Mus musculus: one gene and its partner. The protein of the gene in region 1 purifies or fractionates together with the protein of each later gene. This does not show direct contact. Links are inferred from orthologs where the notes say so. Each region holds a gene or a part of one and is shown on either strand. Other genes may lie near its edges.

Region 1 (5,636 bases):
GAAAATGAAAGAAATTTTCCTTAGTCAAACAGTAAAGATTTTTTTAACTAATTGGTTTTTCTCTTCAGATAAGGTTGCCTCTCAAGGTCCTAAGATAAGGATATTTATGCCATTGTGTTAGGAAGGAAGTAAAAGAGAGGAAGGGCATTGCCCGGCTGATGAACATGAATTGAGCTTACTTCATTAAATTCAATAGTATGCAAGGTTCTAATTCTGTTCCTCCAGAGACCACAAGTGAATCAACATGGAGTTCTAAATGTTAGAAATTGTTAACAGAGCACACAGAAAGCAGTTTCATGGGAAGAAGTTCCTAGGTGAGAGAACACATCTTCTGATAGTAAAGTGTGTTGTTTAACTGGTATATGGGCAACTAGATATAATTTTCAGAAGAAAAAGGTTGGCAAATAGAGATAGGTGTTTCTTGAAAATCCACTCACTGTCATGAATACCAATATGACACTGAGAACCACCAGGAAACTGGGGCACAGTGTAGACTCGAAAATACAATGGCTGAATGAGGCATACATGTTTCTCATTAAAGGAAATTCAGCAAAGTTGTCAGGAATTAAGTTCTTGTTATTTACTGCACTACTACCCTAAAGTATACAAGTGCCAATTTCTAGATTGATACCCTCTACTCGGACCTTTTTCTTGATTCTCAGACAGGCTTATCCAACTGCCAATTTGACATTTCTACCTGGATGTACCACCAGTGCCATAAAATCAATGTTCTTTTCCTTTTTAACTCCATTATTCCATGACTCACTGAAAGGGTCACTATCTGCACTATCTGTTAAAGAAAGATGCCAATATTTGACTATGTTCCTCCTTCCAATCCACCCCTCCACAATCCAATTACTCATCAAGTCCTAGCAGTCCACCCCGCCCCCACCAATCTCCTCACTATCTCCCCTGCTAACACTCTAGGCCAAACCACAAGCACTGCTTGTTTGGATGACTACCAAGGTCATAGCTATGCTCTCTAGTTCCAAGAAGACACTTAATCCCCATACAACACCTAAGATCTTCTAAAACACACACCTACAACATCTATGTGGTGACCAGCTGTAGGGTGCTTTCATAGACCCTCAGGACCCTCAGGTTTGAGAACTTTATTTTCTTGGTATTGGAAGTTTTCCATAAGTTGGATAGGATAGGAATTTGGGGCACCAGAATTGGAAGAAAATGAGAGACTATTCATTTGTGCTCAGCAGAGAGAGCCTAGGAGATAAGAAAGTAGAAGGGTGACATTACAAACTTGGGGGAAGTAACAGTTTATAGGAAATGAAACGAATATATAAACCCGCCTTGATGATGTGTGAAAATGTATGTGAATCAAATTGTCCATAAAGCCATAAGGATTGGCTATCTTTCATTTGTCCAGTATGGGCAAAGGTGACCTCAAGAAGCAGACTTCTGACTATTTGTGTATAAGAAAGATCTTGAATTTTATTTCTATAACTACCGTGAATTATAGTTTATAATAAGCTTTTTCTGGGTCTGCATTCACCTGCTCTATTGCTAATGATATTTTGTCTACTTCTCTTTGTCTTTACATTTTATCTTGTTCTCATGAAGACACCCAGTTGTTTATGTGAATTTATCAGGCAACAGAAGTGCCATTTCAAACTAGTGAAAAACGTTATTGAGGGTGAATCTGTCAATGCCATAATAAAAGTCATTACTTTGTACAGTTAACTTACGCTGAAAATGGTAGTTTTTTCAAATGAATTGAATCAGCAAAACATAATAAAACAACAAAACAGTCCAATATAGACACCAGGATGGTCCTTGTAGCATTGTTTGTAATAGTTCGAAAAGGGGGAAACAACCCAGAAAGTACACGAAGCTGAACTAAGTAAATAAATTATAGGACAGTTATACAAGAAAACATTATACATTTCTAAAAAAACATATGCTAAGGGAAAGAGGTTTGAATATATAACTTGAAAAAAAGCAGTTACAGAACAGTAGGTAACTAGTATAGCCGGTGTAGGGAGAAAGTGCACATAATCAGACTACAAATTAAAAAATTAATGGAGGAATGTCTATCAAAGTACTCAATGTCATGAGTATTTCTGAGGAAGGAGATTAAAGATAGCTTTTAATTTTCTGTTACATATTTCTGCATTTCTCTGGTTTTCACATGACAACACACTACTTTTGTAGTAAGAAAAATAACGATATAAAATAAATAATTTCAATGAATGAATCGTTTTCGTGGGGGCAGTTTGGGTTGGAAGGGCTTCAGACCGAACCTGGTACAGAGGCATAAACATGGGCTTTGGCGTCAGACAGCATTGAGCAGGGCCCCATTGCCCCACCCCCGAGGAAGGGGGCGGGGGGTAGGGGGCTGCGGAAAGGGGCTGGGCTGGGCTGGGCTGTCTGCAGCTCTAGTCCAGGAGGCTGAGACTTCGAGAGGGACTGAGAGGAGCAGGCACACGCATCCCAGACTCACTGGAGGACAAGGTGAGGGAACAACATTGGGCTTTCCTGGTGAGCAGACAGTGGTTCTAACTACCTGAAACCTATAGCTGGGCAGGTGGGCAATTCTTATTTGACCACTATAGCTGGAGCAGAAGTGCTGCATTTGATGCGGTGTGAGAATGAGAACGACCAAGAAAGTAGTAAGCTGTATATGAACTGGACAGCAGAGACTGGCAGAGGTGGAGGGGAGAAAAAGGGGAACTGTGCATGCTTGGAGGAGAAGGAAGAATATGGGGAAATAAGAAGGGGAAGGCGAGATCCAGGGACAAGAATAGGGGATGCAGAGAAGGGTTAAGGGACACTGGGGAGGGGGGTTGCATAGGTAACACAGAGAAGGATGTAAGGAATGGGAAGAGATTTCTGTAGAGTAAATAGGAAATGCGATGGGAAATAGGGAGTCCGGAGTTAGGCAAGGGAATAGGGAGGGGGGGAATAAGGAGTGTTGAGGGGGGAGGGGCAGACGGGCTGGGACGGAGGCCCCCTAGGGAGGCGGAAAGGGGCGGGACCACTTCCGGCCTTTAGTGGGGAGGGCAGTATCTGAGTTTCGGAGGGGCTTGGAGAGAGTGGACACACTCGGGAATTGTAGGAGGACGAGGTAAGTCATGGGCCCCAGCTTTGGATGAGAGCCTGCTAGGGGTCGGCCCCACCCTCTGGGATCTGGAGAAAACCTGCCTTAAGAGCCAAATCTTACCGAATCCATCCAGCTAGGAAGGGAGGGGACTGGACCCCGTTTGGCTGGGCCTAAGATGGAATCACTAGTTCAATCCTGAGTTGAGGAGGGGGTGTTACAGGGAAGGAGCCAAACCAATTTGGGTTTTACCGTTTGGAGGGGGGCGTGTTAGGATAAAGGGCGGGACCTGGAGGCTCTGTGAAATTGATAGGGTGGTTGTGAGTAGGGGAGGGGCTAGGACCACCAGACACTGCGACAATTTGGATGGAAGGTTTGTTGGGGAGGGGGCGGGGCTGAACAGCATTGCGGACCTGGAGAGGGGCGTGTATAGGAGTTGGGTGCTGGACTGAGACCGTGGACATTGCGCATGCGCTTTATGTATAGCTAGAAAGGGGCGTGTTGAGAAGGGCTCGCAGAGACTGGGCCAGCTGCTGAATGCGCATGTGCACGGTGGACTTCAAAGAACGGGTTTGTACTGGGAAAGCAGGCGGGGTTGAAAGGGCGCTGCAGAAGACGCGCATGCGCACTCTAAGCCTGCGGCTGGGGGGGGGTGCGCTGGGAAAAGGGGGCGGGGTCCTCAGAGCTGCCGCGCTGGCACATCTTCCTGGAGGAGGGGAGGGTGCGGCTGCAGAGAACTGAGACCTAGAGACAGAATTTCTGTATCTGAGCACCTACTGGTTGGGGCTCCGGGAGGGGCTGGGCTTTGGGGCCCTAAAGAAGGTGAGGATCAGCTTCTAGGCAGAACAAGGGATACGACGTTCAGCGGGCTCTCCACTTGACCCAGGCCTTCTCTTTGAACTCAGCTTTGCTAGGTGAACTTGAGACATGTCTGACACAAGCGAGAGTGGTGCAGATCCAGCTCGCTCTCAGGTAAGACCGATACCCCCCCCCCCCCTTTCTTGCTGCTTGCCTTTCAAGCCCCTTTTGCTGCCCTAAATCCTTGGAGCTTCTCCTCCCATCCTTGTCATTCTCCACCCACTTCTTTGCCTGGGTGCATCCCCTCTCCCCAGTGGAGGGGAGGCCAAGAGGAAGGGAGAGAGGGTGGGCGGGCCCTTGGTTCTGTCATTACTTTTTAACTGGGAAGCCTGTTTAGGCTGGGGTGGTCAGAGCACACCACAGGTAAGAGTCTTTACAGGTCAGAGAAGTGTAGCCACCTAATTTTGGGACCATTTGCCTTGTTGAGGGGTGGGAAGAAGGTCAGTGAACTTCCTTGCTTTCCCTTGCAGGGCAAAGCTTCAGAAAAGGACAGCGGCTCCGTGATGCAGGACCTGTTGACCGTGACCCAGAACTTGGAGGTCTCAGAAACACCAAAGGCAGAAAAGGCACCAGAGGTTTCAGAGGCTGCAAAGGCTCCAAAAGCCTCTGGGAACCCAAAGGCGACAGAGGTCTCAAAGGCCCCAGAGGCGTCTGAGGCAGCTGCCACCCAGGCCTCACCTACCACACAGCTGAGTGAGACCCAAGTTCTGGCAACTGAAAACAAGAGTCCAGCAGCTGACACCAAGACGCAGAAGTCTGACCTGCAGGCTATGACAATGCCTACAACCCCGACCAAAAAGGTCAGCTGTGGTACCGATCCAAAGGTCAATACAAAGGCTCCGGAGACTGAGGCTCCTGCCTCTCAGGCTGGGACAGATGAACCAGAGCCTGAGGGTACAGCTGTCCAGGTTCAGGAGAACCAGGATACTCGGCCCAAGGTCAAAGCCAAGAATACCCAAAAGGTAAGACATACCCATCCTTGCTTCTCCACAATCTTCTTGTTCATTTGTCTGCCAAAATTAAAACAATTCCTGTGTTCCTGAAAGACCCAGCGCACACTAACAGGAGTGTGTCACAGTTCTTGTATCCACAGAGCTCACAGGCTGGTGGGGAGATGAGGCAGGCATATACATAGCTTCATGCTGACTGGAATGCAGCTTTTTATATGTACAGAGTAGCTGTACACTATAGACCTTGAGGTAGGCTTATTCACATGTGTAGTCTCATATCTGAAAGTAACTCCTTATGGTACCATTCTGTATGGCAGGAAACTGATGCCCAGAAAGAAAGAGGACTGGCTCGTCAATGGTGCTAGAAGCAGAGTCAGGTCAGGGGTGGATGTGGGAAGACGAAAGCCTCAGGCCTTATTTCTGACTTGTTCCTGATCCACTCAGGGAGGAAATTCCCAACTGGTAGTCAGTGATAAGCCCATGACTCAGGATGGCTAGTGTCCAGTGAGGCAGAGTCTTACTACAAGGGCAGGGTTGTGGGGATGTATCCTAGAAGAGACAGCGTTGGGTGTGCTTTCCAGAAGAGACTGAGTTAAGAGAAAGAGCCACCTGCACCACTTGCTGATATTGACCTTCCCCTCTTTCGATGCAGGGGAAACACCCGGATGGAGAAGAGGATGGCAACAGTGACCAGAGTCAGGCTTCAGAAGCCACAGGTGGTCGAAGGGTCTCAAAGGCCCTAATGGCCTCCATGGCTCGCAGAGCTTCAAGGG
Region 2 (5,688 bases), on another chromosome or scaffold:
CATATAATAAATAAATCTTTAAAAAAAAATTAAGTAGTGTCATGCTGTAGACCTCCCCCCCCACACCTTCTGAGCACCTCTCTTAATCCCTATGCTTCAGCCTGTATTCAAATAGCTTTATTAACCCAGGCATGGTAGTGAATAACTTTAATCCTAGGAGGCAGAAGCAGTCAGATAGATCTCTATGAGTTAACAGGCTAGGGCTACATAGACCCTGTCTTAGAGATAATAAATAATGAAATACCATTATTAAACTTATTACCAGTTATTGGGGTCTGAGTGTTTTATTCAAGGAATTGAAATAAAGATACACACAGATTGTAAGGTAGCAAGGAAATAGTATCCAAAAGTGAATAGTACAGATCAGAAATACTCTGTGACAGGCCCACGAGGCTGGCCTTGAATTTCTAGAGATCTGTCTGCCTCTTCTTCCTGAGTGCTGGGATTAAAGGTGTGTGCCACTACTGCCTGGTGTCTTACTTAATATTAAAAAGGGGGGTTTGGGCTGGAGAGATGGCTCAGCGGTTAAGAGCACTGACTGCTCTTCCAGAGGTCCTGAGTTCAATTCCAGCAACCGCATAGTGGCTCACAACCATCTGTAATGGGATCTGATGCTCTCTTCTAGTGTGTCTGAAGACAGCTGCAGTGTACTTATATACAATAAATAAATCTTTTTTAAAAATATGTTGGGGGGACTTTTACACTGCCCAGAGCATTATTAGAAAAGCATTATGTGTAGTCCAAACCAAATAAGTCCCTGGCTACCAAACTATTTTCTATACTTGTCTGATTTAACCACATCCACTCCCCAAATAAAAATGAAGTAAAAACCTGGTGGTGCTGCTGCACGGCTTTAATCTCAGCACCGGAGAGGCAGAGGCAGGTGGATTTCTGTGAGTTTGAGGGCATCCTGGTCTACAGATCGAGTTCCAGAACAGCTAGGGCTACACAGAGAAACCCTGTCGTGGAAAAGCAAAACCAGCCACTAACCAATCAAAATGTCAGGAAAAAAAAATGTATGTCAGAAAAAAATGTAAGTAAAAACATACGAGCTTATTTACTTTCCTTAATTTTGTAAGCGAAACTGTTTATACATAGTTCCAATTTAAGAATGAAAGAGAAGTAATACAGAAAAACAATGCTGTAGACCTTCTGGCCTTCAGTAACCACACTTCATTTTAAGTTTTTGTTTTTCAGACAGGGTTGCATGTTGCTCAGACTGGCCCCACACTGGCTACATAGTTGGAAGTGACAAACTGCTCATTCTGTCACCTGTATCTCTTATCTCAGAAGTACTGGGATTGAAGGCATGCATGTTGCACCATACCCAGCTTTGTTTCCAACTGCCCTGTTCGTAGAATTTGTTAGGAAAACACACATTATCTGCAAGCAAGTTATTTATTCTTATCAGATGTTGTCTATTGCTTCAATGAAAACACCATGACCAAAAAGCAAGTTAGGGAGGAAAGGGTTTATTTGGCTTACACGTCTATATTGCTGTTCATTACTGAAGGAAGTCAGGATAGGAACTCAAGCAGGGCTGGAACCTGGAGGCAGAAGCTGATGCACAGGCCATGGAGGGGTGCTGCTTACTGGCTTGTGCAGCTTGCTTTCTTACAGACACCACCAATAAGCCCAGGGGTGGTACTACCCACAATGGGCTGGGTCCTCTCCCACCAATCATTGAGAAAATGCCTTACAGTTGGATCCTATGGAGGCATTTTCTCAAAGCTCCCTCCTTTCAGATAACTCTAGTTTGTATCAAATTGACACACAAAACCAGCCAGTACAGATGTGCTGAACTTTTCTATCAGAAGGGTAGTCCCATGCCAGGCAGGCACTGTAGACAGAGGGTCAGAAGGCCTTGAGAAGTAGGCGGTGCTTTTCCCAGGCCGGGGGAAGGCAGGGAGTTGTAAGTAATCTGGAAAGAGCGTTGCCGATGTGGTCCAGGAAGCTCAAACCCTAGAGGTTGTAACAAGCCCAAAGTCCTACACGCGCGCCCAGCAGCCCCTTTAAAGAAGCACGAACTGCGCGTGCGCCGGAACACACGTCACTACTCTAACTACATATAGCTCGCGGGCTTAGGCTGGACGCCGTGCTCCCTCAACAGATTTTGATTGGATACCGCCTTTCCTAGTGCCTGGTGCAGTTGATAAACAGCTCTATTGTCCATTCGTCGCCCGTTTTGCTCGCAGAGGGTGGAGCCCGGCGATACGGCCAATGGCAGGTGGTTTTGTTGGCGACCACGGCGGTGCAGCCCCGGAGCGAGCTTAGGACAGGCGCCACTGCCGCAGGAGGCGCGAGGTGCGGTGCTGGCGGGTAACGGCGCGGCGGGCGGCTGGCGAGGGACTGGGGCGGAGGAGGCGGAGACGGGGAGGAGTGGGCGGCGCGGGCAGGCCGACGCGCCATGGCGGCGAGCAGAGGCGGGCGGCGACCGGGTCAGAGGTCCGGGTGGCGGGTGGCGGCGGATGGCGGGCCGGTCCCTCCTCCGTGCAGCCCCGCCCCCGGCTGAAGGTCAGCGCGCTTTGTTCCCGCCGCCCGAGAACCCACGCGAAGCGGCGCAGGCGGTTCCTTGAGAGGACAAGGCCTCCCCAGCGAGGTGGGCCTGGGTACGCCTCGTCTCAGACCGCGCCTGGGAAGGAAGGGGTCTACTGGGCCGCCGCCTCGCCCTTCCGGGCTTTGCATGCTCTCCGCACAGTGCCCCGGTCTCTGAGCCAGACCTCACTCTCTGAGCCTGCGGTGGAGGCGGAGCCAGCCTAGTGACACACACTGAGCCTTCAGACCCGGGCGCCCCTAACGGGTTCAGGGTCGTCAGCAGTACCCCTTCTTCCGAGGGTATCCTTGGGGCAAGTTGGCCCGCACTTCCTCCAACTCTGCTTCGCTGCCTCTTGGAGGAATTTCCGCGGTAGCTTCCGGCGCGTGCGCTGCGGTAACGAGCATATGCATATTCCACAGCAAAAAGACTCAAGTTTAAGTTTTTGGTCCAAAAGTTAAATGCTTTTAAGTTACTGCCGCCTTCCTGTCATAGTAGTTGCTTCCTCTCGGTGACTAATCTCCGCTTACTACACACCAGGGGCTCCTTTAAGCTCCTGACGTGTCTTAACTCATTCACAATAGTACGTGATGTAGGTGCAACAGGCTGACTGTGCATTAGCAAGAAACGCCTGGGTTTTGAAGTGGTTCGGTTTGTGGAATATTTGTAGGTCTGACAGATGAGCGTACCTAATCTGGAAATCCAAAATGTGCTCGAAAAGAAGTGGGTTTTGGGACGTTCTGATTTCTTTTCTTCTTCTTCTTTTTTTTTTTTTTTTTTTGGTATAGGAGTATTCGACCTGTATTGCAAATTAAGTCCCTGATAGGTTAAGTGTGATGGTACCTTGCATCTAAATTCAAATAGATTTAATCTGGCTCAGTTTTAATAATAAATGTTTATTATTAAATAAATAACGTATTGAAACAAATATTCAGATGAACAGTAAGATTCAGAGAAAGCAGGGCTTTGATAGGACTAGAGTATAGTTCACCTGTCGGGTAGTCTACAGCTGTATCATTTTAACTAAAGTAGATGCTGTAAAACTCAGTTGTCGGTCTCAACCCCCCCCCTTAGTTGACCAATATTGGTTCACAGTGTCATAACATTTAAACACATTTTGATGTTTTAGCTTTAAATCCCGAACTGTTTTTCACAGTTAATATAGAATAGCTGGTGAAAATAATAGTGATTTTATCGTTTTTTGAAAATTCTGGAATTGTATTACCAAAGTTCTGGGGGAAAATGTATGTATTTTGGGATCTTCTCAGAAATCATGGCTTGTGAGCTGGCCATTTGGCTTTGTGTAGTTGAGTATATAGAATATACCAGTGGGCAATAAATCTCCTGCAGGGGTGGTATTCTTAGAAATGAGGTAGTTCACCACTTTGGTCTGACTTTGTACTTGAGTCTTAAAATGCCCCAGCTAAGATAGATATGGCAGTATACACCTAGATTCCCAACTGCTCTGGAACTGTTTAAAATCTGTCTTGGAAAAACAGCAAGATCCTATCTCACTTTTTTTTTCCTGTTTGCCTCTTGTTAGTGAAAGTATACTGTCCCTGCTAGCTGTCTTTATGTTGTGTATAAAAGTTTATGTTGTATTTGTATAAAAATTTAACTGCCAGTACCTAAAATTTTGGTTTTTGGAAGAAAAAAAATCCTAGACAAGAGAGTTAATTTAGGGGTGGTTAAGATCATTGTGTGCTTTTGCAGAGGACCTAGGTTTGAGTCCCATACTCATAAGGTGGCTTCTAATAGTCTATAACTTAAGTCCCAGGGTTCCAACAGCCTCTTCTGGCCTCTGCAAGTAGTGCACAGACAAGCAGGGAAACCACCCATACACATAAATAAGTTAGAAATTTAAGAAAGGGTAGTTTAAATCTGAAGGTCTAAGGGCAACTCTCAGTGTGAAATAGGCACATCAGTGAGTTCTTTGCTGCTTGCATCCAGCCCCAGGTGACCTGTTTTGAAAAAGAGGCAGTAGTAATGAGCTGTTGGGGACTTCTAGCCCGTGAGTACAAGGTTTTTTTGTTTACTTAAAAGGAAATGTAAGTGGGTGTGTTGGCTTGTATCTGTATTCCAGCTCTTAAAAGGTAGAAGCAGGAAGCTCAAGGCCAGCCAGCGCTACTGCAAGAAAGATGAAGTGCATTTAGGCATTTAGAATTGAAGCTGATGTCATCTTCATCTTGCTGCACCTATTGCCAAAGTAGAGGAAGGTACTAGGGAAATAGCAGGGACTTCCTTCTACCCTCAGCCTTTGCTAGGGACTACCTGATAGTGGTAGTATGGAGGCTTCGTAGACTACACTTGGGACCTGTTATTAATCATAGATCAGTAAGCCTGTTTTGGTGGGTAAAAATGGGTAAATAGCAGAGTCTTGGAATGGATTTTTAGGCATTTTGAAGACAGTTGATGGTAGCATAGATTTGTTTTCATCTAGCAGTCAGGTCTCCTGTCTCCTGAGAGGAAGCTCATCTGCTTTACTTTGCTCTGCTATTGAATTTGACAGTAACAGGAGGCATGTGGTATTTTTATAGTGTGAAAACTACAGAAGCTGGCTTTGTGAACTTTACCTTTTGATTCTAGCTGCTTGCTGTACAGCCTTAAATTCCTTTTTTCTGTGTTCTGTCAGCTGTTGTAACAATGTGCTTCCATCCTGTGTCCAGGAGACTCAGTCTAGTGAGGTAAGATTAGCTCTGAGCTTTATGTACAAAAAGATAATTATTATATTTATGATTTAAGTCACATTCAGTTGCTTCAGAGTAACGTGTATTATTCATGCAAGATCTCCAGCCTAGGGTCTCCAGTGTAAAGCAAATAGTGAATGGCCTTGCCCTTCCTGCAGCGGGAGCAGGTGAGAGTCAGATGTGGGAGGATACTTTTGAGACACTGGAGTCTTGGAAGGTAGTTTGTAATTTCAAATATGGGGGAAGAAAATGCCTCTTAGCAACAAGAAGAGATAGCCAGTGCTGAATTAAGAAAATTGTCCTAATATCTGCTTGTTCATATTTTCATAACTTTTCCAAATGCTGCCGAGGTACTTCGTCTGCCAGAGGAGCATTTTGCTTGAGGGAAGAAAAAAAAAATCATTTTGTCCTTTCTTCCTGAAGCCTGGTGGTTTGGCTTCTAGAAATCTCTGGTGAGATGACCTGCTG

The links. Proteins that work in one complex are often made in the same cells at the same time.
Region 2: the proteins of Maged2 (region 1) and Nap1l4 purify together in Homo sapiens (affinity purification with mass spectrometry; 3 studies listed by BioGRID and IntAct, counting the BioPlex papers as one, with this or other methods). This does not show direct contact. The link is inferred for Mus musculus from reciprocal best matches to the Homo sapiens genes MAGED2 and NAP1L4.

The regions. Positions count from the first base shown.
Region 1 is NC_000086.7:150,811,062-150,816,697, reverse strand, and holds the start of Maged2 (melanoma-associated antigen D2), read left to right. Parts: upstream 1-2,352; 5' UTR 2,353-2,469; exon of another isoform or gene 2,470-2,496; intron 2,497-2,990; exon of another isoform or gene 2,991-3,082; intron 3,083-3,435; exon of another isoform or gene 3,436-3,625; intron 3,626-3,695; exon of another isoform or gene 3,696-3,960; 5' UTR 3,961-3,982; coding exon 3,983-4,027; intron 4,028-4,383; coding exon 4,384-4,875; intron 4,876-5,515; coding exon 5,516-5,636. UniProt on the Homo sapiens protein: Regulates the expression, localization to the plasma membrane and function of the sodium chloride cotransporters SLC12A1 and SLC12A3, two key components of salt reabsorption in the distal renal tubule.
Region 2 is NC_000073.6:143,545,658-143,551,345, reverse strand, and holds the start of Nap1l4 (nucleosome assembly protein 1-like 4), read left to right. Parts: upstream 1-2,225; 5' UTR 2,226-2,304; exon of another isoform or gene 2,305-2,319; intron 2,320-2,399; exon of another isoform or gene 2,400-2,609; intron 2,610-5,165; exon of another isoform or gene 5,166-5,217; intron 5,218-5,688. UniProt on the Homo sapiens protein: Acts as a histone chaperone in nucleosome assembly.